7 linked regions of the Macaca fascicularis genome follow. The protein of the gene in region 1 interacts with the protein of each later gene in a pairwise test. Links are inferred from orthologs where the notes say so. Each region holds a gene or a part of one and is shown in the gene's direction. Other genes may lie near its edges.

What was found.
Region 2: the proteins of CREB3 (region 1) and STX7 interact in a two-hybrid assay, tested with the Homo sapiens proteins (2 studies listed by BioGRID and IntAct). The two-hybrid records come from large-scale screens. The link is inferred for Macaca fascicularis from reciprocal best matches to the Homo sapiens genes CREB3 and STX7.
Region 3: the proteins of CREB3 (region 1) and MS4A1 interact in a two-hybrid assay, tested with the Homo sapiens proteins (2 studies listed by BioGRID and IntAct). The two-hybrid records come from large-scale screens. The link is inferred for Macaca fascicularis from reciprocal best matches to the Homo sapiens genes CREB3 and MS4A1.
Region 4: the proteins of CREB3 (region 1) and SLC29A1 interact in a two-hybrid assay, tested with the Homo sapiens proteins (2 studies listed by BioGRID and IntAct). The two-hybrid records come from large-scale screens. The link is inferred for Macaca fascicularis from reciprocal best matches to the Homo sapiens genes CREB3 and SLC29A1.
Region 5: the proteins of CREB3 (region 1) and VKORC1 interact in a two-hybrid assay, tested with the Homo sapiens proteins (2 studies listed by BioGRID and IntAct). The two-hybrid records come from large-scale screens. The link is inferred for Macaca fascicularis from reciprocal best matches to the Homo sapiens genes CREB3 and VKORC1.
Region 6: the proteins of CREB3 (region 1) and HMOX1 interact in a two-hybrid assay, tested with the Homo sapiens proteins (2 studies listed by BioGRID and IntAct). The two-hybrid records come from large-scale screens. The link is inferred for Macaca fascicularis from reciprocal best matches to the Homo sapiens genes CREB3 and HMOX1.
Region 7: the proteins of CREB3 (region 1) and NDUFB6 interact in a two-hybrid assay, tested with the Homo sapiens proteins (2 studies listed by BioGRID and IntAct). The two-hybrid records come from large-scale screens. The link is inferred for Macaca fascicularis from reciprocal best matches to the Homo sapiens genes CREB3 and NDUFB6.

What each region holds. Positions count from the first base shown.
Region 1 is NC_088389.1:63,665,254-63,669,532, reverse strand, and holds the start of CREB3 (cyclic AMP-responsive element-binding protein 3), read left to right. Parts: upstream 1-1,479; 5' UTR 1,480-1,679; coding exon 1,680-1,808; intron 1,809-1,901; coding exon 1,902-2,052; intron 2,053-2,123; coding exon 2,124-2,191; intron 2,192-2,305; coding exon 2,306-2,395; intron 2,396-4,029; coding exon 4,030-4,136; intron 4,137-4,226; coding exon 4,227-4,279. UniProt on the Homo sapiens protein: Endoplasmic reticulum (ER)-bound sequence-specific transcription factor that directly binds DNA and activates transcription. Plays a role in the unfolded protein response (UPR), promoting cell survival versus ER stress-induced apoptotic cell death.
Region 2 is NC_088378.1:36,426,606-36,430,105, reverse strand, and holds part of STX7 (syntaxin-7), read left to right. Parts: intron 1-383; coding exon 384-477; intron 478-1,156; coding exon 1,157-1,294; intron 1,295-2,140; coding exon 2,141-2,193; intron 2,194-2,700; coding exon 2,701-2,797; intron 2,798-3,500. UniProt on the Homo sapiens protein: May be involved in protein trafficking from the plasma membrane to the early endosome (EE) as well as in homotypic fusion of endocytic organelles. Mediates the endocytic trafficking from early endosomes to late endosomes and lysosomes.
Region 3 is NC_088388.1:13,753,568-13,756,380, reverse strand, and holds the end of MS4A1 (B-lymphocyte antigen CD20), read left to right. Parts: intron 1-473; coding exon 474-692; 3' UTR 693-2,313; downstream 2,314-2,813. UniProt on the Homo sapiens protein: B-lymphocyte-specific membrane protein that plays a role in the regulation of cellular calcium influx necessary for the development, differentiation, and activation of B-lymphocytes.
Region 4 is NC_088378.1:127,294,115-127,298,354, reverse strand, and holds the start of SLC29A1 (equilibrative nucleoside transporter 1), read left to right. Parts: upstream 1-1,440; 5' UTR 1,441-1,753; exon of another isoform or gene 1,754-1,794; intron 1,795-1,942; 5' UTR 1,943-1,978; coding exon 1,979-2,036; intron 2,037-2,260; coding exon 2,261-2,398; intron 2,399-3,451; exon of another isoform or gene 3,452-3,588; intron 3,589-4,054; exon of another isoform or gene 4,055-4,155; coding exon of another isoform or gene 4,156-4,195; coding exon 4,196-4,240. UniProt on the Homo sapiens protein: Uniporter involved in the facilitative transport of nucleosides and nucleobases, and contributes to maintaining their cellular homeostasis. Functions as a Na(+)-independent transporter.
Region 5 is NC_088394.1:29,273,799-29,277,844, reverse strand, and holds the start of VKORC1 (vitamin K epoxide reductase complex subunit 1), read left to right. Parts: upstream 1-1,246; 5' UTR 1,247-1,314; coding exon 1,315-1,487; intron 1,488-2,608; coding exon 2,609-2,718; intron 2,719-4,046.
Region 6 is NC_088384.1:16,285,622-16,289,594, reverse strand, and holds the start of HMOX1 (heme oxygenase 1), read left to right. Parts: upstream 1-1,173; 5' UTR 1,174-1,255; coding exon 1,256-1,278; exon of another isoform or gene 1,279-1,479; intron 1,480-3,966; coding exon 3,967-3,973.
Region 7 is NC_088389.1:66,515,094-66,519,085, forward strand, and holds the start of NDUFB6 (NADH dehydrogenase [ubiquinone] 1 beta subcomplex subunit 6), read left to right. Parts: upstream 1-1,192; 5' UTR 1,193-1,316; coding exon 1,317-1,496; intron 1,497-3,307; coding exon 3,308-3,400; intron 3,401-3,992.

The sequences.
Region 1 (4,279 bases):
GAACACTAGCCTGAAATTAGTTTGTTATCTCTCTGGGTGAAAAGAAGCCCCTGTAACTACACAGGAATAAAGGACTTCCCTACAAAAGAAGGGCATTTACCTACTGCCAACCTCTTAAATTTCATCTGCTCAAGGCCAACTATGCTAGCCTCAATTACAACCCCTAAAGTTGCCCCAAATTCCTAACATTAACCCCACCTCTAATTTGTTTCCTGATTCCCACTACCGGCTTGGACATTCATCCCTTTCCCAGCAGAGACTCATATCCAATCCCTGATCCCTGATACTGATCTAAGTTTTACCTTTAGCACCAAATCGCCTGATGTTAACCCTAAATGTTGACCCCTAAGCCTAAAGTTCATTTGTAACTTGATTCCTAACTCACACTTTCACTGTTTATCCTTAATACCGACCATGTCAACATTCTTTAATCCCTCAAACAGGCTCTAACCTGATTCCTGTTGTTGACCCTTAACCCGACCCTGAACTCAAATTATGACGTATGATGGCCATCCCAGCAAACAAAATAATGACCTTAATCTAAACCTTACCTACCTAAAACGGACCTGACTCACACTACTAACTCTTAAGTTTTAACCCCAGCTTTTAACTCCTATAGCGACCCTTGATTCCTAAACGGACCCCACCTAATCCCCAACTCACCCAAAGCTTTCCTACCCACATGGCCGCTATCAGCTAACACCAAAGCCCGTCCCCGTCCTGCGCCCCGCTGCCACCCGACTCCTCACGCTCCCCAAAGCCTATCCCAGGCAGAGGACTGCCCCCAGGAGAGGCCTGTCTCCCCTAAGACGGCCTACTTCACGATGAGCCCAAGTTGAGATGCGCTGGACGCTGACCTCTCCAACTAACAGAACCCGAACCGGACACGCAGGAGAGGCAGGGCCCCGCCCGCCCCCGGGGCCAGGCTCCGCGGCCCCACCCTAAGGCCCCCGCCCGGCCCGGTCTGGCCTACCTGCGCTGCCCGGCTCTGCGCCCCGCCTGCCGGCCCGCCGGCCCGCTGCCCTGCCGCTTCTCGGGTCGCCCTCGGGCTCCGGCCTCGCCCTCCCTTCGACACTCTCTCGGCCACTTCCGTCCTGGGAACGTCCCCCACCCGCGGGCGGCGCCCTGGGGCAGCGCTCTATGGTCGCGGGGGGCAGGCAGGAAGCTGCTCTGGCCGCGTTCTCGATGCTCGGGGGCCGCCAAAGGCCGGCAGCCCCTCCCTGGCAGGAAGCGAGGGTGCGGCGCAATCCGGAGAGAACGCCAAGACGACGCCCGAGTTCCCTTTCAGGCCAGAACTCTTCCTTTTTCTAGCTTGGGGGAGAAGGCGGAGCCGGAGCCCTGGAACCCCCGCCCTCGGGGTGCGAGGCGGCAGCAGGGCCGTCCCCTACATTTGCATAGCCCCTGGGACGTGGCGCGGCACCCAGGCCTCTTCTCAGTTGGAGGGAACTCCAAGTCCCACAGTGCCACGGGGTGGGGTGCGTCACTTTCGCTGCGTTGGAGGCTGAGGAGAATTGAGCCTGGGAGGCGGGTCCGGAGAGGGCTACGGAAAGCCCCCGGCCGGGAAGCCCGGCCGTAGAGGGACAGTGGATAGGTGCCCGAGGCCTACAGCTGGCCTGGGGCTCGTGTCTGGGCTTCGGACGTTGGGGCCCGGTAGCCCACCCTTTCCGTAGTTGTCCCAAATGGAGCTGGAATTGGACGCTGGTGACCAAGACCTACTGGGCTTCCTGCTAGAGGAAAGTGGAGATTTGAGGACGGCGCCCGATGAGTCCGTGAGGGCCCCACTGGACTGGGAGCTGCCGCTTTCTGAGGTGCGTTGGGGTTCTGACTGGGGAAAGCGTGGGATGTCCATGAGGTCAGGGGATGGTGATAGGTCAAGGCCTGTTCACTGGAACCCTGCGCAGGTACCGAGCGACTGGGAGGTAGATGATTTGCTGAGCTCCCTGCTGAGTCCCCCAGCGTCGTCGTTGAACGTTCTCAGCAACTCCAACCCCTGCCTTGTCCACCATGACCACACCTACTCCCTCCCACGAGAACCTGTCTCTATGGATCTAGGTGAGTCTGAAATAAGTTTGCGGGGAGGACAGGGTTCATGGGCCTGGCTATTCATACGTTCCCTTTTGCAGAGAGTGAGAGCTGTAGAAAAGAGGGGACCCAGATGACTCCACAGCATATGGAGGAGCTGGCAGAGCAGGTACTTGACTTGATTTTCAGGAAGATTACTCTCACATTCCTCAGGTGGGGGCAGGATTCCCCATTCCTCTGTGACATCCCCATGCAACTGCCGCCCACTTTCTGGTTACCCTAGGATATTGTTAGGCTGGTACTGACAGATGAGGAGAAGAGTCTATTGGAGAAGGAGGGGCTTATTCTGCCTGAGACACTTCCTCTCACTAAGGTAAGACTCTCGTTAGTTGAGCAAAGGCTGAAAAGGGATTAAAAGTCTCAAGTAGGCCAATTCTGTTAACTTTATATCAATAACTTTAAAAAAGGATTGAGGTGAGAAACTTAGCAGATTTATTGCTAATAGGAAGTTGAGGCAGGTACCCAATATGCTAGATGCAAGGCAGATCCTCATTTTCGTTGGGCTTACACAAATTTTGGTGTTCTGTTAAAAAACAAACAAAAAAAAACCCTCAAAATTATCAGTGCAACATTAGTATTGGGCCTTGGAAAGGACTGTGTAAGTGAAGGGCCTTGACACTTCATTGGCTTCATAGTAATCCACCTCTTGCTGAATGGTAGAACTGTTTAGAGAGTTCAACACGATTGGACTAAGCAGTACATGAATAAATGCAAAATCCTTAGTTTCCAGTTTTAAGCAATCAGTGGCAACTTCACAAGCAGAGTACTGGGATACTATGATGAAATCAGTGCTCATTAATAGAAAGGTTCCAGGAATTTTTTTTTTTTTTTTTGACAAGGTCTTGTTCTGTTGCACAGGCTGGAGTGCAGTGATGTGATCATGGCACACTGCAGCCTTGAATTTCTGGGCTTAGGTGATTCTCCCACCTCAGCCTCCTGAGTAGCTGAGACTACAGGTGCACACCACCCTGCCCGGCAAATTTTTTTTTTGGTGTTTTTAGTAGAGATGGGGTTTTGCCTTGTTGCCAGGCTGGTCTTGAACGCCTGTGCTCAAGTGATCTACCCACCTTGGCCTCCAAAAGTAAAGAATTTTAATTCCTTCAAAGTACAAGATGAGTCAGCAGTGCGATGTGGCTACTAGGAAAGTTAATGGGATTTGGAAACTGTAGCAAGAGTTATTGTCTCCACAAGTCACTATCTTGCTTTCCTTTATACTGGCTAGAGCACATCTTTGACAGATACTAAGAAGATGCAGTCTATCCTAAGAAGATGAGTTAAAATTTTTGTCTAAGCTGTTTTTTTCTTGAACTTTTTTTCTCTGAGGAAATGTCAAATGCCTGAAAATAGCTTAACAGGGTTCATTCTATTTGGCCCCAGAGATACTAGGTAAGTCCAACGTATAGAAATTATAAGGAGACAGCTGTTGGTTCAGGATAAGGAAGTTTTTGTTTGAAGACAGATTCTTGCTTTACTGCCCAGGTTGGAGAATAGTGGTGAGATCATGGCTCACTACAGCTTTGACCTCTCAGGCTCAAGCGATTGTCCTTCCTCAGCCTCCTGAGGAGCAGGGACCACAGGCATGTGCCACCACACCCGGCTAATTTATTTTTAGTAGAGACAAGGTCTCACTGTGTTGCTCAGGCTGGTCTCAAACTCCTGGGCTCAAGCGGTCCTCCTGCCTTAGCTCCCCAAAGTGTTGGGATTACAGGCATGAGCCATGTCACTTGAATATTGCCTGACCAATTTTTTTTTTTAATAGTTTAAAATGGTCTGGCTTGTTAGGGTTAACACGTGCTCCGTGGAGGCATTCAGAAAGAATGTGAATGCCTATTGGTCAGGGAAGCTGTAGAAGGGATTTCTGTATTGGAAAGAGATGGATCTCAGTTGCCTTTCAACTTCTTGTTCTAGAGTCCCTCTAATGATACCCCTTTCCCTGTTTCCTTTCAGATGGAGGAACAAATTCTGAAACGTGTGCGGAGGAAGATTCGAAATAAAAGATCTGCTCAAGAGAGCCGCAGGAAAAAGAAGGTGTATGTTGGGGGTTTAGAGAGCAGGTATGAAAGGGAGAGGGACTCAGTTTTAAGTGTTAGGTTTTTGAAGGGAGGACACAGGCCATATCCCCATATCTTTGTTATTTCCCCCAGGGTCTTGAAATACACAGCCCAGAATATGGAGCTTCAGAACAAAGTACAGCTTC
Region 2 (3,500 bases), on another chromosome or scaffold:
TTTTCTTGCTCACCTGACCTTCCAGGTGTGAGATGCAGATTAAGGGCTGCCACATCCCCAGTATCTCAAACAAAGGATCAGACATCCAACAGTCTCTCCTTCAAGTTCCCTCTGATTTGAGTCATCTGTGTTTCTAAATGGTCATTGATACTGGTTTCTCTAAGCTCACCTACCCTGTGTCAGTGAAGAACCTGACATGTAATATTTGCTCAATATTTATCAAAGAATAGGATATGAAATTTTTTTGATAGAGAAAGTTGAGAGCCAGTTTATGAAAAGGCAATTTTTGTACAACTCTTTGTCAGTGTTGATTCAAATGACAGAGTTGTAGCTTAAAGAAGTGTATTAGTCCTTTGGTTGTAATGCGTGCTTTCTCACTTTAGGCAACAGAAGCAGCAGTATACTAACCAGCTTGCCAAAGAAACAGATAAGTACATTAAAGAGTTTGGATCTCTGCCCACCACCCCCAGTGAACAGGTATCAAGCTTTAAGACACATTGTTGATGCATTGAATGTGAAAAAAACCAAATACGTTGTAGGATCTTTGAACTGTTACGCTAGAAAGGAAATTATGCTAGAAAGGAAATCAAAAATAATTCTGTTTGAGATTAGTTCATAGAACACAAAACTATATTTAATTGCTCAGGTAGTATCCTGTGGTTCAATAAAGCAAAAATTATTTCCATGCATTTGCCCTGACCCATAATTAAGTAAGTTCTCAGAAAATGCTTCCTGAGTAATTATTTCCTGGCCTTCCGGGGCTGAGTGCGTGGAACATGCAGGCTCATTCAAGATGTGAGGTGTCCTGGGGGCATATATTTATTTCCCTGCTTATTTAATGGAAGTTATTACTTAGCTAAAAGTATAAGGCTTTATTTGCCTGAAAAGGAATTACTTTAAAATAGCCTCAAAATAATGAGCTAGTTTTTAGCAGCATGAAAACTTGAGGTGAGAAATCCAGCATAATGGGTCTTTTGCCTCCAGTTAAATATGCTCGGTATTTGACATACTGTCAGAATGTTGTTGAGAGTTAATCCGTAAGGCCCTGTAATTGGGGAGCAAGTGAAAACTTCAGGATTAAATAAAGAACCAAGTACTGCAAACTGTTTTACTTCACAGCTAGATTCTAGTTGGCTTTTTCTTCTCTTTCCTCTAGCGTCAAAGGAAAATACAGAAGGATCGCTTAGTGGCAGAGTTCACAGCATCACTGACAAACTTCCAGAAGGTTCAGAGGCAAGCGGCTGAGCGAGAGAAAGAGTTTGTTGCTCGAGTAAGAGCCAGTTCCAGAGTGTCTGTGAGTATTTTAAAAGACATTCTAGAAACGACCCTTACTTCCTAAGGGTCCTATCAAAGTCTATAGTAGCATAATTTTTTAAGTCATAAAGATCTGTGACTAACTTGGAAATCAGCACTTGAATATTCATTTTTATGCTTTTCTGCTCCATTTTTGGAGAAGATGATAATTATGTATTACTGTGGTTTTTTTTCTGTGTCATTGTACAGAAGATTACAGACTATATAAAAATATAGAGACGTATTTTGTCAAAAAAGATGAGGGATCAAACCCTGAGTAGTATTCTCACATCGTCTTGGTACGGAGGCTTTCTGCTTGTGGACACACTAGTATAGAAAGCACTTTCCTCCTGGATTACACCAAGATGACGGAGATGAATGGCGCAACTATGTTGTCTGAATATTGAAAATGAACATGAGCCTGGAGAAAATAAATGAAAGGAAGCTTTACAATAGAATTTTGAATTAATTTAATTTTAAATTCCCTTACAAACTATCACGAGTTTTCTTATTCATTAACATATGAATTCCAAGACTACATTAAGCTTTAACTAAATAATACTTATTTGACCCTTGAGAATGTTTAGTGTTTGTCTACTTAGAATATAAAATTACTTATAATTATGTTATTACTTGAAGCAGTTGACCTGAAAAATTAGAACAAGAACTTCTTTCTCTCTCTCTCTACACACACCACACACACACACACACACACACACACACACACACACACACAGAGACATGTACATAAATCGTTTAGATTATTAGGGAAAATATGAGTGTTTATTTTTTCTCATTTTTGCTTTCTTTGCCACTTCTCATTCCATCCTGTTACTAAATCATTCAGGGCGGTTTTCCTGAGGACAGCTCAAAAGAAAGGAATCTTGTATCCTGGGAAAGGTAAGAAATACAAAACATTTTTCAGATCAAAAGGTAATTTTTCAAAGTTTATACATTAAGGCCCCTGGAACAGAATTAAAGCTTTCAATATAAGTTGTTTATATGTTGAAAACAGAGTAAATTTGAAAAAAAATTTAATTATAAAGTATTTATCATAAAATATATAAAATTTTCCAAATAAATGTTTATGGACTTAATTAATAATATAGACTTTCCCTTATATGAGGTTTAAATCAACTAAGAAGAAATACCCAGTTGACAAATATAGCTTCCAATAATTAAGTAATAACTCTAAACTCACGTTAGATAAAATGATATAAGTGAAATGAAAAATGAATAAAATTTTATTCATATATCTGTTATAGTCTTAGAATTTTTTAAGTGAGTAGTTCTGCGACTTTGAAGAGTAAAACGTCCTATTTAATGAATATATCTTAAATAGGAAATGAATCTCATTGTTTTGAATACCAATCTTTGTTTTTTTCCACATTCATTTTTTTCTGTTAGCCAAACTCAACCTCAAGTGCAGGTGCAGGATGAAGAAATTACAGAGGATGACCTCCGCCTTATTCATGAGAGAGAATCTTCTATCAGGCAACTTGAAGTAAGGCTTACATTGTAGACTTGGGCTGCTACCCTGTTCTTAGTGAGTTTGTTCTCAAAATGCTTAGGTAATGCTGGCAGAGCGTACGAGAAAGAAATTTTATTTTTTTCTTTTTGAGACAGTCTCCCTCTGTCGCCCAGACTGGAGTGCAATGGCATGATCTCGGCTCATTGCAATCTCCATCTCCCAGATTCAAGCGATTCTCATGCCTCAGCTTCCTGAGTAGCTGGGATTACAGGCATGTGCCACCCCAACCGGCCAATTTTTTGTACTTTTAGCAGAGACAGGGTTTCACCATGTTGTCCAGGCTGGTCTCAAACTCCTGGTCTCAAGTAATCTGCCTGCCTTGGCCTCCTAAAGTACTAGGATTATAGGTGTGAGCCACCATGTCTGGCCCAGAGAAAGAAAATTAATGTATCAGTTTGGTAGCATTTGTAATGTATAAATTAGAATAATTCCTTTTTGAAAAAAATAATATTGTCCTTACTGTTTGTGCTAGGATGAGGGAACATACTCCCTCCTACTGCAGCTTTTAAAAAATTATGATTCTATTAAGCCATCTATGGACTACCTTAGTATTGAGAAAATACCAGTGTAGAGATAAATGTCTGTCCGAGAGTCTGGATGTCTTCCCAGGATACATGATACACATCATACGTGCATGAGTAAGACCTTTTATAAAGCCTTCAAAGAATTTTATTTC
Region 3 (2,813 bases), on another chromosome or scaffold:
TCCACAAATGGAAATAAAAAGAGACCAATAATAGATATATTACTAACTGCTTCAGAACCAGACTGTTAGATTAAGAATAGAATTTAGAAATCATCACTAATTACTTCATTTTGCATTTAAAGAAAAATAGTATCAAAGAGGGAAAATTCTTCTCCCAGAGTTATATTCACGAAAGGCAAATCAGAACAACAATCTAAACTCCTCTATTACTGCAACGTTCTTTTCCCAATACCACGTGGTCATTCCAGGCACTATGGTAAATGTCTGCTGCCCTTGAAGATTTACTCAGACTTGAGTTTTAATAAGTGATTTGATAAGGATTTAAGCACCTGCAAAATAAATCCTGGCATTTAAAGGCATATAATAATAAGTAGCATAAAAACCAGGAGCTATTTGATAAATGTTTGTAGAGATTGTTGACAAAAGTGTCAATGGTAAAAGTAAAGAATAGTTTGTTTAATTTTGTGTTTTAGAGCGTAGTTCTCCTGTCAGCTGAAGAAAAAAAAGAACAAGTCATTGAAATAAAAGAAGAAGTGGTTGGGCTAACTGAAACATCTTCCCAACCAAAGAATGAAGAAGACATTGAAATTATTCCAATCCAAGAAGAGGAAGAAGAAGAAACAGAGACAAACTTTCCAGAACCTCCCCAAGATCAGGAATCTTCACCAATAGAAAATGACAGCTCTCCTTAAATGATTTCTTCTATTTTCTGTTTCCTTTTTTAAACATTAGTGTTCATAGCTTCCAAGAGACACGCTGACTTTCATTTCTTGAGGTACTCTGCACATACCCACCACATCTCTATCTGGCGTTTGCATGGAGTGACCATAGCCCCTTCTCTCTTACACTGAATGTAGAGAATGTAGCCATTGTAGCAGCTTGTGTTGTCATGATTCTTCTTTTGAGCAACTTTCTTACGTTGAAGAAAGGCAGAATGAGTGCTTCAGAATGTGATTTCCTACTAACCTGTTCCTTGGATAGGCTTTTTAGTATGGTTGTTTTGGTTTTTTTTTTTTTTTTCATTTTCTCCATCAGCAACCAGAGAGACTGCACCTGATGGTAAAGATATATGACTACTTCACAACATTCCTAAACTATCTTTTTTTTTTTTTTTTCCACATCTATGCTTTTGGTGGAGTCCCTTTGGCATCACTGTTTTAAGGACGATTAAAAAAATAACAACTAGGGACAATACAGAACCTATTCCATTTATCTTTCTACAGGGCTGACATTGTGGCACGTTCTTAGAGTTACCACACCCCATGAGGGAAGCTCTAAATGGCCAACACTCATCTGTTTTTGTAAAAACAGCATAGCTTATACATGGACATGTCTCTGCCTTAACTCTTCCTGACTCCCACTCTAGGCTATTGTTTGCATGTCTACCTACTTTTAGCCTTTATGCAAGAAAAGAAAAAAATGACCATAGAAAATGCCACAATGAGGTGCCCAAATTTCAAATAATAATCAACATTTCATTGTATTTATAATTTCCAGATGACAAAGTATTTCATCAAATAACTTCATCTGATGTTCCATGATCAAGAAAACATCCCTGTCTCTATTTTACAAGTAATTCAAAGAGGTCACATAACTTGTAAACAAGAAAAGGTAACTTATCAACAGTCATAACTAGTAATTACGAGAGCCTTGTTTCATAACGAGGTCTTCTTACTCAAATCCTGTGATGTTTGAGATAACCAAATTGTCTCCCCAATGTCTGCATAAATTGTGAGAGCCAAGTCAACAGCTTTTATCAAGAACTTACCCTCTGATCAGCACTAAACAAGCACTGAGAGACACAGAGGGTCAGAGTCAGATTTTACCTATGGGGATAAAAAGACTCAGACTTCTACCACATTTGGAAAACTACTTGCATCATAAATATATAATTAACTGGTAGTTTATATAAAGCAGACACTAAGTGCTATAGACATTCTCAGAATATCCTACTCGGAAACAATGTAATTAAAATGCCAAATCTGAGTCAATAGCTGCCTTACTTTTCAATTCAGATATATTAGTACCTTACTTAGAAATAATGTTAACCTAGGGTGAGGTCACTATAATCTGTAGTCTATTATTTGGGCATTTGCTACATGATGAGTGCTGCCAGATTGTGGCAGGTAAAGAGACAATGTAATTTGCACTCCCTGTGATATTTCTACATTTTTAGAGACCACTAGTGGAAGACATTCCTCAAAATTAGAAAAAAAAAGGAGATAGAACATTTCTGTCTATGTAAAGTTCTCAAAATTCGTTCTAAATTAATAAAACTATCTTTGTGCTCTTTTCTGCAACAGATGATTCCAACATGGGTGTTTGTCTATTCTTCTTTACTCTTGAAACATTAGACCATGGGAGGCTCTTACAGCCTTGAGTTCATATTTACAAAACCCCAATCTAGGTTTGAACTGTGAGGTGTCAGGTCATCAAATATTCATGTCTATATAGTCTTACACAGGTTCCCAAAGACAATGTTCATGGGATAGGTCATTGATAATGGATTCCTTACTCCCAGAACTCCAGATGACTGAAATATATGAGAGAAGTAGGATAGGGCATGGTAGGGGCAGGCCTGAGAAAAAAAAATGAAAGTCAGAAATCTTTAAAAAAAATACAAGATGTTATTTCTATCTTATTTTTTTCTCCATTTCTGAAATATATATGACGATTCCTCTCCAAACCCATGGTTTCTCCAAGAATTTTGAGTCATTTGTACAACCTCAAATAATTAGTTTTGGCTGACCTCACATAAGTTCTTAAAATAGGGGACATCTTTAATGTCTGCTATTAAAGAAGAATGAAAATTC
Region 4 (4,240 bases), on another chromosome or scaffold:
TGTGGACAGACATGAAGCCACTCTCAAGTCACGGAGCAGTGCCTAGAAAAACACCACCCAAACCCATCTTCCTGCCCTCTGGTTAGGGCTGGCGGGGATGTGGGGGATGGGTGGGGTGGGTGAGGGTTGGGAAGGGATATGTGTGTCATCTCTGTGGGGCATGGAAACACAAGGCTGGGACACCCATTCTGGAGTAGCTTGGGGAGAGCCACTGACCCTAAGTAGAAAAGCCACCTCTCTCCTTAGGGCTCTGTCTGTTTCTCTGGGGACAGGATAGGACTACCTTATCCCTATGATGTGAGGTACTGCCAATTGTTAATCAGTGTCTGTGGCTTCTCTAGGGGACAAGCCCTTCGCGTCAGTGGGCATGGGGTGAGCAGCGTGGGTTGGATTTTCTCCTCAGGACCTTTCCAGCCTTAGGATCACGCTCTAGCACTGAGTGCTGCTGGAAGGGCAGGGAGTGCACCCCACCCCACCCCATTTATTGCTCAACCAAAGAGAGGGCCTCCCTCCCCCTCCCTTGGAGGGACTTGCTGGACCACCCCTCAGCACGCCCACACCTTCCTCCTCAGCTAGTGGAGGACGTGATCAGCAAGGCTTCCGCCTCTCAGGACGGCTGGGACAATAGGATTCACTCAGGATGTCAGGCTGTTCCTGGCTTTTTCTCTTCCCATTCCCAGCTGTGCCTCAGTTTTCCAAAGTGCTGGATTTAGAAAGGGTGAATTATGAGGGAGTTGGAGGGTTGTGCCCCTGTCCCCCTCCGCGCGCACACACAAGCACAGGCAGAGGCACATACCCCCTCCAAGTCAAAGTTGTGGGTGGTGTGGTGTTTGCGCGTCTGTGGCTGGGACTGGATGTGTCAGGGATGGGGAAACCATCATGCTGGTCACAGAAAATGGGAGGTGGGGACAGAAGCAGTTTTGAAGGAAAATACGAGGGGGACTGAAAGAAAGAAGGGGGCGTTGAAAGGGAGGGCGCTGGGAGGAAAAAGGTGCAGTGTGGAGGAAGCGCGGCGTGGGCGGGGCTGGGGAAGAGATAACGGAACATCTGAGGTGGAGTGGGCCGTAGGGCGTCGGGGCCGTTCTGAGTAGCGGGTGTGTAAATGGAACAGTCCCGAGATAGATTTTATGGGAGTCTGCTCAGGTCCTTAATGTGTGGCTGTACCCTCCAGCCCCATGTGCCCCACACGAAGGACAACCTTGGTGTGGCAGGGCCCAAAGAGGTCCTGTCTACCGAAATAACACCACCAGGCGGCCCTGGGGGCGCAGGGGCTCGGTGTGGGGACCGCAGAGCGCGCGGAGTCGCCGTGGGGTGGCGGGGCGGGCCGGGGGCGGGGCCGCGGGCTCGCGGGTGTAGGGAGGGAGGTGGCAGTGGGCTCAGGGCGGGGCGGGCCCAGCAGAGGGCGGGTTTGAATGTGCCCCGGCGGGCGCGGGAAGCTGCAGGAAGAGCGCGCGGTTCTCAGCGCGAGAGCACTGCTTCTCAGGCAGGTGCTGCCCGGGGCCGGGGACTGGGGACCGCCAGGGCAGAAGACGCCGCTGCCCGCTTGCCACGGAGGGCAGGGAGGCCGGGTCTGACGGCTCCGCAGCCCGGAGAAGGATCGCCGGGTGGGGCCCCAGTGCGGAGCGTGCGGAGACGCGCAGCACGTGGCGCGCACGGGCCAGGGAGCCAGAGGATCCTGCCGGGACCGGGACCCGAGCTGGGCTGGACAGCTTGTCTCCCGGGCCTGAAACAGACTGCGGTCACGTTGACCTCCGTAAGGGGCAGGCGAGTGGACGGGTGATCCCGATCGATCTGGTCGGTAACAGGGAGGGGCCGTGCCGCCGACTGCGCTGGCGGAGGGGAATGGGGATGGGGATGGAGGCTCGCGAGCGGAGGTGCGGGGCTGTCTCTTTAACCTGGGTCTTTTACTGGCTAAAGTCGTATCCCTGGCGTCTCCTTCCAGCGCACGTCCTCATTTACTGGTTTACTGTCAGAGTGTATGAGAGGGCGAAGACACACACTCCTCGGCTTTGCTTACCAGGAGAGAGCAGTCGTAGGTCAAGGCTGGCTCCAACCCTGCCCTCACACCTCTAGGGGTCTCTCTCCAGCCCCGTTGTCGTCCTTTTGCCTACTCCTCTCGGTGGCCTCCAGACCCTTCAACTTTCCTCCTGCTTGTGTTAGCTCCCCATGCCAGGATGTGTGTGATGGGGCGGGGCTGAGGTGCCTGACACTCAAGTCAGGCTGGGAATGATCTTGGTCTCCACCTCATTTTTCCCTTTAGTTGGATCAGAGTTCCCCCCCACCTCCCAGTCTACAGGGCTAGCTGAGAAGCAGCTTTTATACCTCTCTCCATTCCAAAAGGAGCTTGAACATTTAATTTGGATTCTAGCTCCTCCACTCACCAGCTCTGTGACCTCAGGCAAGTTACTCAACCTCTCTGAACTTCAGCTGGCCCAATCTATTCAGTGCTAGTACTAGCTTATGGGTGGTTGTGAGGAAAAGACGAGAGATCTGCAGATAGTGGCTGGCCCCATATGAGATCCTGGGAGTGGAGAATTGCAGGAGAGGTGTTGGGAGTCTGGAGGCAGGGAGGTACTCAATTTGGTGGCTGCTTTCAGGGGCCCACCTCAGCAGGCCAAGGCATAGTTGGAGGGACACCGGATGCTCTGAGCTGGTATCAGATCCCTGTTTGCTGCTGGGCAAAGGCAGACGAGCAAAACACGAAGGCTGGCCAGCTGAATGTTAGGATATGGGCAGGAGGAGAGGGCTGCCCGTGGTGGAGTTGAATTGTGCCCAAGACTGGAATGGGAACTCCTGAGAACAGAGAGAGCAGGGGTGTAGCTGGGGGATAGGGAAGAAATAAATACTTCTTCTCTAAGCCCAAGCCAGTTTTACCCAGGAAAACAGGAGCTATTCTCCCCACCCCAGGCCTCCATCTGCTTTGAAGTTGCACCTGCCCTTTACTTCCAGGAATCTTGCCTGTGGGGTGGAGTACAGGGTATGCGGGTATGAGGTAAGAACCTAAAGGAAGAGTCCTTACTACCGAATAGAAAACCTGAGACCTAGGCAGGGTGCGGTGGCTCATGCCTGTAATCCCAGCCACTTTGGGAAGCCAAGGTGGGTGAATCACCTGAGGTCGGGAGTTCCAAACCAGCCTGGTCAACATGGTGAAACCCCGTCTCTACTAAAAATACAGAAATCAGCCAGGCGTGGTGGCAGGAGCCTGTATTCCCAGCTACTCAGGAGGCTGAGGCAGGAGAATCACTTGAACCTGGGAGGCAGAATTTGCAGTGAGCCAAGATTGTGCCATTGCACTCCAACCTGGGCAACAGGAGCAAAAACTCCATCTCAAAAAAAGGAAAAAGAAAACCTGAGACCTGAGCCTTTCCCCCACCCCCACCCCCACCCCAGTAATGCCCTCTTGCCTTCATCTCCCTAGAAAATGTATTTTTTTTTTTTTTTTTTGAGACAGAGTCTCGCTGTGTCTCCCAGGCTGGAGTGCAGTGGCGTGATCTCGGCTCACTGCAAGCTCCGCCTCCCGGGTTCACGCCATTCTCCCGCCTCAGCCTCCCAAGTAGCTGAGACTACAGGCGCCCGCCACCACGCCCGGTTAGTTTTTTGTATTTTTAGTAGAGACGGGGTTTCACCATGTTAGCCAGGATAGTCTCGATCTCCTGACCTCGTGATCCACCCGCCTCGGCCTCCCAAAGTGCTGGGATTACAGGCTTGAGCCACCGCGCCCGGCCCCTAGAAAATGTAAATATGGTTATTCACCACTCTGGTGCCTAGGACAGTGCCTGGCTAGCATGCAGAGGTCCTCAGTAAATATTTGTTGAAGGGGTGATTGCAGGAATCCTTCTGCCTCCATCTGGAGGTGTGGGGTGAGGGGCCGAGGAGGACCTCGGAGAGCTTGGAGTTTCCCCAGCGAGGGTTGAGAGGAGCTACAGGGAACTGGGAGAGCCCATAGAATGTCTCATGGTGCCCAGCTGCTACTGTTTGTCTGAGTGGGCCCTGGAGCAATGCTGCACCTGTGAGAGCTCCCCTGCTGAGACTCCCTGTTCTCTTATCTCCCAAGCGACAGGGGTGGCTTTTTATCTCCTGGGTGTGCTTCTGCTTCTTTGCTTGCAAGCCTTCTCAGAATGGGGCCCCAGGAAGCCTGAGGGACTCTCTCCTGATATGCCCTGTGCCACCTTTTTCATTCTGGATCCGCACCCAGGAGCCCGTGGACAAGGCCCATTGCCTGAGCCTGAACTAGGAGCAC
Region 5 (4,046 bases), on another chromosome or scaffold:
TAACCACTGGGTCTAGCGTCTTGGTGACACCAGCCACTAGGTGTCAGGGCAGTGCTGGAGGCAGCAGCTAGTTTATGGCGTGGGCAGTGAGGAAGAAGTGAGGAAGTAGAGACTGGGAGTGTAGAATCTTTCCAAAAACTTGCCTGTTAATGCAGGGAGGGGAGGCTGCTGAAGGACCTCTTAGTGAAGGGAGATGTGTTGCTGTTTCTGAGATGGGAAAGAGAAACAAGTTGCAATGTAGATGGGGAGGACGGAGAGGTTGAAGGTGTAGGAGAGATGGGTCACCATCAGATGGGATGTCTGTGAAGGAAAGACCTCAGCAGGCCCACAGCTTGGAAAGGAGAGACTGACTGTTGAGTTGATCCAAGCTCAGGTGTTGTCAGGCAGGTGCCATGATAGTAGAGAAGTTAGGATACTGTCAAGGGTGTGTGTGGCCAAAGGAGTGGTTCTGTGAATGTAAGGGAGAGACCCACCAGCAAGAAGCGCTGGTGAGGCAGGACCTGGGAGGATGCGAGGCTGCAGCCCGAATGGTGCCTGAAATAGTTTCAGGGGAAATGCTTGGTTCCCGAATCGGATCGCGGTATTCGCTGGATCCCCTGATCCTCTGGTCTCTAGGTCCTGGATGCTCCAGTTCTTACAACAGGACTTGGCATAGGGTAGGCCCAAATGCTGTTAGCCACATTAACGCAATTTTTTTTTTTTTTTTTTTTTTGAGACAGTCTCACTCTGTCGGCCAGGCTGGAGTGCAGTGGCACGATCTCGGCTCATTGCAACTTCCGTCTCCCCAGCTCAAGCAATTCTCCTGCCTCAGCCCCCAGAGTAGCTGGGATTACAGGCGTGTGCCACCATGCCCGGCTAATTTTTGTATTTTTAGTAGAGACGGGGTTTCACCATGTTGGCGAGGCTGGTCTCGAACTCCTGACCTCAGGTAATCCGCCAGCCTCGGCCTCCCAAAGTGCTGGGATTACAGGCGTGAGTCACCGCCCCCGGCCAAAACAGTTTTTAAATCTCTGGAGACGTCATTTCCCTTGACGCCTTGCAGCCGCCCCGACTACAACTCCCATCATGCCTGGCAGCCGCTGGGGCCGCGATTCCCCACGTCTCTTACCCGCTTCACCAGTCTGGGCGTTCTTAGCGGTTTTCCTAACTCTCTCGCCTGACTAGCTCCCGGGAACAGCCGTTTGGATCGCGGAGTGCGAACCCGGCCGGCCAATCGCCAAGTCAGAGGGGCAGGAGGGGCGTGGCCATTCCCCGCCCCGCCCCTGCTCCGTGGCTGGTTTTCTCTGCTGGCGCCTCGGACGGAACCTGGAGATAATGGGCAGCACCTGGGGGAACCCTGGCTGGGTGCGGCTCGCTCTTTGCTTGGCCGGCCTAGTGCTTTCGCTCTACGCGCTGCACGTGAAGGCGGCACGCGCCCGGGACAGGGATTACCGCGCGCTCTGCGACGTGGGCACCGCCATCAGCTGTTCCCGCGTCTTCTCCTCCAGGTGTGCACGGGAGTGGGAGGCGTGGGGCCTCGGAGCGGGGCGGCCAGATTGCCAGATGATTATTCTGGAGTGTGGGATCGGTGTGCCCAGGGAACGGACAAGGGGCTGGACTGCTCGCGGGGTCGTTGCACGGGGGCTGAGCTACCCAGAGATACTGGTGTTCGAAATAAGAGTGCGAGGCAAGGGACCAGACAGTGCTGGGGACTGGGATTATTCCGGGGACTCGCATGTGAGTTGGATGCCAAGGAATAACGGTGACCGGGAAAGGCGGGGAGGCAGGATGGCGGCAGAGATTGACGATGGTCTCAAGGACGGCGCGCAGGTGAAGGGGGGTTGGCGATGGCTGCGCCCGGGAACAAGGTGGCCCGGTCTGGCTGTGCGTGATGGCCAGGCGTTAGCATAATGACGGAATACCGAGGAGGCGAGTGCGTGGCCAGGGAGCTGGAGATTCTGGGGTCCAGGGCAAAGATAATCTGCCGCCGACTCCCAGTCTCTGATGCAAAACCGAGTGAACCGTTATACCAGCCTTGCCATTTTAAGAATTACTTAAGGGTCGGGCGCGGTGGCTCACTCCTGTAATCCCAGCACTTTGGGAGGCCGAGGCGGCTGGATCACTTGAAGTCAGTTTACCAGCCTGGCCAACATGGTGAAAGCCTGTCTCTACCAAAAATAGAAAAATTATCTCGGCGCTATTGCAGGCTCCTGTAATCCCGGCTACTTGGGGGCCTAAGGCAGGAGAATCGCTTGAACCCGAGAGGCGGAGGTTTCAGTGAGCCAAGATCGCGCCACTGCACTCCAGCATGGGCCACAGAGTGAGACTCTGTCTCAAAAAAAAAAAAAAAAAAGAATTACTTAAGGTCTAGATGAAAAGCAGGGCCTACCAAGTAGCCACGTCAGGCCTGGTCTGGGGAGAGGGGAGGATAGGGTCAGTGACATGGAATCCTGACGTGGCCAAAAGTGTCTGCTGACTGGAGGTCATCGACCCTTGGTCTAGGATAGGAGGTGGGGAACAGAGGATAACCCAGGTGGCTTCTTGGAAATCACCTTTCCGGGGTAGGGTCCAAGGCACTAGGTTGACATTCCTAACCTGGTTCCACCCCCCCACACCACCCCTCTGCCAGGTGGGGCAGGGGCTTCGGGCTGGTGGAGCATGTGCTGGGACCGGACAGCATCCTCAATCAATCCAACAGCATATTTGGTTGCATCTTCTACACACTACAGCTATTGTTAGGTGAGTGGCTCTGCCCCCTCCCTGCAGGCCCCGGCCCTCATCCCCCTTGGTCAGCTCAGCCCCACTCCATGCAATCTTGGTGATCCACAGCTGATAGCCAGCTAGCTGCTCATCACGGAGCATCCTGCAGGTGGAGAGGTGGGGAGGTAACTAACAGGAGTCTTTTAATTGGTTTAAGTACTGTTAGAGGCTAAAGGGCCCTTAAAGACATCCTAGGTCCCCAGGTTTTTTGTTTGTTGTTGTTTTGAGACAGGGTCTGGCTCTGTTGCCCAAACTGAGGTCTAGGATGCCCTTAGCGTGCACTGGTGCGATCTCAGCTCATAGCAACCTCTGCCTCCCTGCCCAAGTGATCCTCCCACCTTAGCCTCCCGAGTAGCTGGAATCACAGGCGTGCACCACTATACCCAGCTAATTTTTGTGGTTTTTTTGGTAGAGACAGTGTCTCGCCATGTTGCCCAGGCTGGTCTTAAGCGATCTGTCTGCCTCAGCCTCCCAAGGTGCTGGGGGGATTACAGGCATGAGCTACCATGCCCCACCAGCACCCCAGTTTTGTGGAAAAGATGCCGAAATTCCTTTTTAAGGAGAAGCTGAACATGAGCTATCTTTTATCTCATTTAGTGCTCCGCAGGAAAATTTGTATCTGGTCCCAGGAATTATTGAACAGATAGGGGAACCAAGGGAGTGGGAGACGATGGCACCCCAGGCCTTGCTGATGCCATACCCTGGAGATGAGACTACCTATTACCACCCTTCCCAACAGGCCCCCACACTCCCTTTGAGTCACCCTTCCCAGCTCCAGAGAAGGCATCACCGAGGGAGGCCCAGCACCACGGTCCCTGGCTGACACATGGTTCAGACTTGGCCGATTTATTTAGGAAATTTTATTGCTCAGAACTTTCCCTCCCTGGGCAATGGCAAGTTCCTTGGAGGGAACCTGTCAAAGCCTTTTTTTTTTTTTTTTTTTTTAAGAAATCATCTTGCTCTGTTGCCCAGGCTGAAGTGCAGTGGCACAATCATAGCTCACTGTAATCTGGAACTCCTGGCTCAAATGATCCTCCTGTGTAGCTGGGACTAGAGTTACATGCCACTGCACCCAGCTAATTTTTATTTTATTTTTTATTTTTTGAGACATAGTCTTGCTCTGTCACCAGGCTGGAGGGCAGTCGCGTGATCTTGGCTCACTGCAACCTCTGCCATCCCGGTTCAAACAATTCTGTGTCAGCCTCCCGAGTAGCTGGGACTACGGGCGCGTGCCACCACGCCCAGCTCATTTTTGTATTTTTAGTAGAGAGGGTTTCACCCTGTTGGCCAGGATGGTCTCAGTCTCT
Region 6 (3,973 bases), on another chromosome or scaffold:
CCCTATGTTGCCCAGGCCAGTCTCGAACTCAAAACAATCTTCCTACCTCAACTGGGCTCAAAGCAATCTTCCCACCTCAACCTCCCAAAGTGCTGGGACTACAGGTGTGAGCTACCATGCCAGGCCTGAAAGCCATCTTATAAAAAACAAAAAAACATTAGAATGAGAATCATAGCATTGGGAAATGACTCTATGAAATCTATGAATCATCTGGTCCATTTGTTTTGTCCTCTGGGTTCACCCAATGACCCTCTTTTCCCCAAGTTCTCAGCAGTGCACCTCATGCAGAATTGATTCAATAGGCGATCAGCAAGGGCCAGCTCTGCTCTGGGCCCTGAGCAGGCACTGAGTATAAGTCAGACCTGAATGTGCCTGGAAGAGTGTCCCACGCAACCCAGCAGGGAAGCAGTTTGTATGACAGGTGTCCCAGTCCAGGCGGGCACCAGGTGCTGCCGGAGTGTGGAGGAGGCAGGCGGGGACTTAGTCTCCTCCCTGGGTTTGGACACTGGCTTCCTGCTTTATGTGTGACACCACTGCACCCCTCTGAGCCTCAGTTTCTCCAGCTGCAAAATGGGAGCGATCTACCCCCACAGGTCAGTTGTAGGGATGAACCATGAAAATACTGGAGTCTCTGTTTTTTGACAGGAACTAAAAAACCAGATCCTAAATGTACATTTAAAGGGGGTGTGAGGAGGCAAGCAGTCAGCAGAGGACTCCAGAAGGTGGCAATTTAGGGAGCTGGAGACAGCAGGGTCTGGGGTTGCTAAGTTCCTGATGTTACCCACCAGCCTCCTGCTCTGAGCAGCGCTGCCTCCCAGCTTTCTGGAACCTTCTGGGATGCCTGGGGTGCATCAAGTCCCAAGGGGACAGGGAGCAGAAGGTGGGGCTCTGGAAGGAGCAAAATCACACCCAGAGGCTGCAGCTTCTCAGATTTCCTTAAGGTGTGTGTGTGTGTGTGTGTGTGTGTGTGTGTGTTTTCTCTAAAAGTCTATGGCCAGACTTTGTTTCCCCAGGGTCATATGACTGCTCCTCTCCACCCCACACTGGCCCGGGGCGGGCTGGGCGCGGGCCCCTGCGGGTGTTGCAACGCCCGGCCAGAAAGTGGGCCTCAGCTGTTCCGCCTGGCCCACGTGACCCGCCGAGCATAAATGTGACCGGTCGCGGCTCCGGCACAGTCAACGCCTGCCTCCTCTCGAGCGTCCTCAGAGCAGCCGCCGCCCGCGGAGCCAGCACGAACGAGCCCAGCACCGGCCGGATGGAGCGTCTGCAACCCGACAGGCAAGCGCGGGGCGCGGGACGGGCGCCTTTCCCTCCCCTCCCAGCTGGCCTCCCAGTCCCACCCGGGACACTGCCACGCAGCGACAGAGCCCGGGAGCCAGAAACTTGGGCCCTGGAGTCAGGAGGCGCGGGGTTCTGATCCTGCCTGTGCCCGTAGGGTGGCTGGAGGGAGGAACGGTGATTTACATGCCTGGCACCCTGGTATGCGGTTGGGGACCAAGATGGGAGTGTCCTTAGAGTATCCAGCCTTTGAGGTAGCCAGTTTTTGTTAAATCCAACTTTCGAGGTGTGTTTGGAGTTGCTCTCTGCTGAATCTAGATCTCTGGGGCTTCCCTGTGAGGGAGTCAATTTTGTTTTAATCCAACTTTTGAGGTGTGCTTGGAGCTGCTGTCTGCTGAATCTAGATCCCTGGGGCTCCGCTAGCCTGGGAGAGCATGCTTGGTTCTCTTGGTGGCATCTGTCCCTCACTAGCTACGGAGGACCTGAGCCAGACATCACCCTGGCTACGTTGTTCCGCGTCTCACAAATAAGGATTGCCCAGTTCAGGCAGGCGACACGCCCTAGAGTACTCAGTCAGCAGGTGTCAGAACTGGGTGTTGAACCTTGGCCTGCCCACCTCCAGGTCTCGCTCGTTCCCTTCTTTCAAGAATTTCTTAGTTTTTTTTTTTTTTTTTTTAACTCCTGGGCTCAAGCATCCTCCCACCTCAGCCCCCAGAGTTAACTGGGACTTACAGGCGTGTGCCGCTTCTCCCAAGAATTGGACCAGCTGTGTTGTAGAACAGGGGATGATGTTCCGGGAAGCAGGGCGGGAGGAAAGGGAAAAATGACAGTTCTATGGGGACGCAGGGATACGGACCCATGACAGAAATACTCCCGGAGAGATTTTTTCTTTAACTAAAGCAGAATTTTTCAGAATTTTTAACCCTGACGTCTTCATGATGAGCATAACATGATAGGGGGGTCATGAGATTTGCATCTGAAACTTTAACAAAATAACTGAATTAAATATTGGGTCTAAAAGCCAATCAAAACAATTACAAACTTTGAGATGCGCGTTCATGGGGCCTCTGCTTTTTCCTGGGTTATGCTGTACCTCCTCCTCCTCTCCACTGGGAACTACCGGTACCAGGATTTCCCCCTTGGTTTGGGGGACTGTATTATTCAGTGTTTTATTTTATTTTATTTTATTTTATTTTATTTTTTTTTTATTTTTTATTTTTTGAGACGGAGTCTCGCTGTGTCTCCCAGGCTGGAGTGCAGTGGCGTGATCTCGGCTCACTGCAAGCTTCGCCTCCCGGGTTCACGCCATTCTCCCGCCTCAGCCTCCCAAGTAGCTGAGACTACAGGCGCCCGCCACCACGCCCGGCTAGTTTTTTGTATTTTTAGTAGAGACGGGGTTTCACCATGTTAGCCAGGATAGTCTCGATCTCCTGACCTCGTGATCCACCCGCCTCGGCCTCCCAAAGTGCTGGGATTACAGGCTTGAGCCACCGCGCCCGGCCTATTTTTTTTTTTTTTTTTTAGACTGAGTCTCGCTCTGTCACCCAGGCTGGAGTGCAGTGGCCGGATCTCAGCTCACTGCCAGCTCCACCTCCACGGTTCACGCCATTCTCCCGCCTCAGCCTCCCGAGTAGCTGGGACTACAGGTGCCCGCCACCTCGCCCGGCTAGTTTTTTGTATTTTTTAGTAGAGACGGGGTTTCACCATGTTAGCCAGGATGGTCTCAATCTCCTGACCTCGTGGTCCGCCCATCTCGGCCTCCCAAAGTGTTGGGATTACAGGCTTGAGCCACCGCGCCCGGCCTGGCCTAGTGTTTTAATGACTGAAGAGTGTTTACAAGGCTGCAAGAGTCACCATGCCCAGCCTGAATTTGTTTTTTTGTTGTTGTGGATTCTGGGGTTTTTTTTTTTTTTTTTGCTTTTTTTTTTTTTTTTGAGATGGAGTCTTGCTCTGTCACCAGGCTGGAGTGCAGTGGTGCAATCTCGGCTCACTGCAACCTCCACCTCCTGGGTTCAAGCTATTCTCCTGCCTCAGCCTCCTGAGTAGTTGGGATTACAGGTGCCCAACACCACACCCGGCTAATTTTTTTTTTTTTTTTTTTTTTTTTTGTATTTTTAGTAGAGATAGGGTTTCACCAATGTTGGCCAGGCTGGGCTCAAACTCCTGACCTCAGGTGATCTGTCCGCCTTGGCCTCCCAAAGTGCTAGGATTACAGGTGTGAGCCACCATGCTTGGCCTTTTTTCTTTTTCTTTTTTTTTTTTTTGAGATGGAGTTTCTCTGTCACCAAGGCTGGAGTGCAGTGGTGTGATCTCAGCTCACTGCAACATTTGCCTCCGGTGTTCAAGCAGTTATAGGCATAATCGCCGGGATTACAGGCATCCGCCACCATGCCTGGCTAATTTTGTATTTTTAGTAGAGATGGGGTTTCACCATGTTTGCCAGGCTGGTCTGGAACTCCTGACCTCAGGTGATCCGCCCACCTTGGCCTCCCAGGTGCTGGGATTACAGGCGTGAGCCACTGCACCCAGCCACAAGGCTGCATCTTAAAGCGATTGGGAATGTGGCCTGAATAAGAATGGGAGTCCTTGGAGGCCTGCTTATAGGTGGGTGGCTCCCCTGAGCTCAGCAGTTGGGAAGGACCCCACCCCCAGCCAGCTTTGTGTTCACCTATCCCATTTCCTCCTCAGCATGCCC
Region 7 (3,992 bases), about 2.8 Mb from region 1:
ATTACCACCATCTTTCTCTTTTTGGGTAAAAGCATACTGTATAAATTCCCATCCATTTTTTTTTTCACTTTATAATGTATCCTGGAAATCACACCACAGATGTATATAGAGTTCTTCCCCATTACTTTTCTCAATTATATTAGCATTTCATTGCTTTGTTGTGTGAAAGTTTTTGGGAAGCCACTGTTTTGGACTAGCCTCATGCACTAGGCCCCAGCAGACCAGACCAAATCAGAATGGAGTCGTTTGTGCTAAGTACAACGTAATCAAACTGAACTTTGAAATGGGCCAGTTTTCCAAAAAATGGGAAATTCCCCTAAGCCTGAGTCAGTGAAACAAGGAAGTTCCTTCTGCTTTAACTCTAAGAGAAAAATAACTTTGAAACGACGAGTCTGCTTTTTGTTCTGTTTCTGCTTTCTTCAGCCCCTATTTGCCAATAAAACCAACCGCCTCTGCTCAGCTGATCAGAACACTCATTCTACTTTATAGAATGGGGTGTTTTCTGAGTCTAGAATCACAAATAAGAGTCAATTAAGATTTTTAAACTAATTCATTGTAACGCTGTCTTTCGACTGTTGTACTATAATTTATTCAAGCATTCCTTTATTTAGGAATTTGGGGGTAATTTCCAATATTTTGGTATTACGAATCATGCTGAATAGTCGTGCATGCCCTTTCATATTTTCACCACACGTATTTTTGGGTGAAAGCATGAATGCATCCATGCAATTTTGCTAGATATTAAGCTACTCTTTTCACTATTTCTGTACAGATGGAGGGACAGATGAGACAGCTGCCTGGGGCACTTCAGCAGTTACTGGCACAGCTGGGATTTGAACTTGGATGTTAACTATTTTCATACACTCTCTAGGTCATTCCAAGGTGGCAGAGACAAGCAAATAATTTCGTATCTGGACAGCATATTCACTGAAACACTTATGCGTATCCTTCCTGCTCCCAGCATACAAGTTCTTCCTTAGCAAAACCTCCAGTCCTCTAATTTAGCATACTTTCGTCTAATCTGTCACTTTCCTCAGGCCTCAAAACTAAGAGCACTCCTCATCCCCACCCGGTAATAATCTGGTCGGGTATAGCGGCGGTGGGCGGAGAGAGAATTGGAGGTGGAGAGCTTTGCGCATGCCCGGACACTTAGGACTCTGGGGCCCCTGCAGAGGCAGGACCAGGATGTGACGTAATAACCGCGCGCGGCGCCCGGCGTTCCCACAAGGTCGCTTTGCAGAGCGGGAGCGAGCTTAAGTAACTAGTCCCTAGTTCGAGGGTGGGTCGTGTCCTTTTGCCTTGGTACCAGCGGAGACATGACGGGGTATACTCCGGATGAGAAACTGCGGCTGCAACAGCTGCGAGAGCTGAGAAGGCGATGGCTGAAGGACCAGGAGCTGAGCGCTCGGGAGCCGGTGCTGCCCCCACAGAAGATGTGGCCTATGGAGAAATTCTGGAATAAGTTTTTGGAGAATAAATCCCCTTGGAGGAGAACGGTGAGTGACAGACCTCTCCGGTCCCCCCTCAACACACCCCACCGCGGCCAGCAGCCCGGACACTGAACGTCCGCTCCCTGCAGCCACACCAAGGACTGATAACCGCTCCGTGCTGGGAAACACTGGCCAGTCCCGAGAGCGCTCCTGGAGTCCCGGGAGGCAGGAGTCCGGGAATATGTATGGCTTTGAGAGAATCATGCCTTTTATTGTCAAGTACAGTGAGACGGGGGCGAATTTTAATACTTAGGTTTTCCAGGACGCTGCACATTTGGTTCTCTTTTGACTGTAGAAATCTTCCCTCAGAATAATAGCCAAGGACTCGCTAGAATTAAAATTCTGTGATTTAAGTATTTGAGGACACTTGTCTAACTTTTAAGTGTGACGTTCTAGAGATCAAGTAACACAGTATCCAACTACCAGAGGGCACAGCCAGCCCTTAGCTGGTAGTACAGCCCCATGTGATCCCCGTAAAAGACAGGGTCCTGTTGGTATGCCTTGTGAGTCACATTCAAGAGCTACCTTTCTAAACTACCGTTCTGTACTTTTAACACAGGGTTTCGTTAAAAAATGACATTTTGGACTTTGAAGAAAATCACTCATTCAAGAAATTTATTTTCAAGGCCTCTGGGTATTTTCTTGAGGTCTGTTATGGGTGATAAACATCTCAGAATTGCTTTCAGTTACCTACAACACTTACTGATAATAGTAGTAATAATACTAAGTAGCACCTGGGTGCTTGCTGTGTACTTGGCACTCTACTGAGGGTTTTACAAATGTTACTTCATTTCTTTATTCCTGCAAGGTAGATATTCCTAATCCTCACTTTAAATGTGAAGAAACTGAGGCCTATAAAGATTCAGTGATTTGCCGGTGGTCAGGGAGCTAGGAATTGAAGGAGTTCATATTGAAATCAACATGTACCTATTTCTTACTGTACTACAAAGTCTAGTGCAATAGAATTGTTGAAAATTTTTTCTGAGAAAGTGGTATTGGATACTTATTTATGGTGGTAAAATTCAACTCTTCTCTCACCCTTTGTATCCCTGACATTATCGGGATATTGGCAGTCACTGATTTAAGTTGACATCCCATCCATCAGCCAGTGATAAAAGGAAGTAAATAAATTATCATGTGTTGAAATTCACCTTACCTTAATGTATTCTTTTATAATCATATCTGTTATAATTCTTAGATTCTTGATTGTCCCTTCCTTGAATGGATAGGTGTTTTGTAATCAAATTGGAGGACATGGGAAAGTTCCATTTTTAGTTCTTTTTTAAAATAGTGTTGCAGAGGGCATTTTGGAGTGAGTTTGGGACACCCATTAGTATGTAAAATGTCCTTTTTCCAGCATTGGTGTTGTCAAGGTTTTCTGCCTTATACTTAAAATAATGTGAGTGCCATTGATCAATAAATAAGGGAGATGACTATACCTGAAAAATTATGAGGTTTGATTACTCTGGTTAAATACATTAAAATTATTATTTCATTAATTTGCTCTATTTTATCTTTAACAAACTTATAATAAGGGTATTTTTTAAAGTCTTTAAAAAATCTATAAATGCCTTGCTATATTCTTGCAAAATACTATTTAAGCATTTTGGTCTGGACTTTGTAGGTATCTTCTAGTGGACTCTGCATTTACTAAGAATATTTGAGTAGATGAGGTTACCTACAAACTATAAGAAAATATGTACCATTTAGAGTTTTGTAAAATAATAATGACATTGTTACATCATTGATGCCTTTTGTTCTGCCATAAATATGAAAAATGGGATATGTTTATTTTGTGTATGTGTTTTTTCCGCCAGGTCCATGGGGTATACCAAAAGGGTATCTTTATTTTCACTCATATACTTGTACCTGCCTGGATTATTCATTATTACCTGAAGTATCATGTGTCTGTAAGTATGTCCTCTTCAGAATTTATTTTTATATTGTCCAAAATTATTTTCTATGTGGATATCTTACCCTACTTAGTGGAAATAATCTGCCACTTATAAATGGATTTTGAAGTACTTTGAATTCTCTTAGGTAAAAGGTTTAATGAAAGTTACGTAATTGGGTATAGTTTTTTAAAAAAATACTGTGACTAGTTTACAACTTGGAATGGATTTCCTCATAGAAATTGGTATTTAAGAGATAAGAATGTAGTGACCTAATAATACTAGGGTAAATTTGGGGTCATGAATAGGAAAGGAGAAAAGAATTTCTGCTCCTTTTAAAAAACCTATATCTGGTATAAGATAAAAATTCAAAATAGACAAAGCTTATCTTTGTCATCATCCTATTTCTGTTTCCTTCATTTTATCTGATTCTTCACAACTTTTATTTATTTAGAACTCAGGATGTCCAGATGCCTGCACTTTTTCACTGATACAGATCTTGCATGGGCTGATTGAACTCAGCCAGTCATGGTATTTTAAATGCTTAGTCTGGTGCAGGGTGTTGGATCCCAGGCAGAATGAGAAGGGCATACATTTTGGGAAGTGGCGT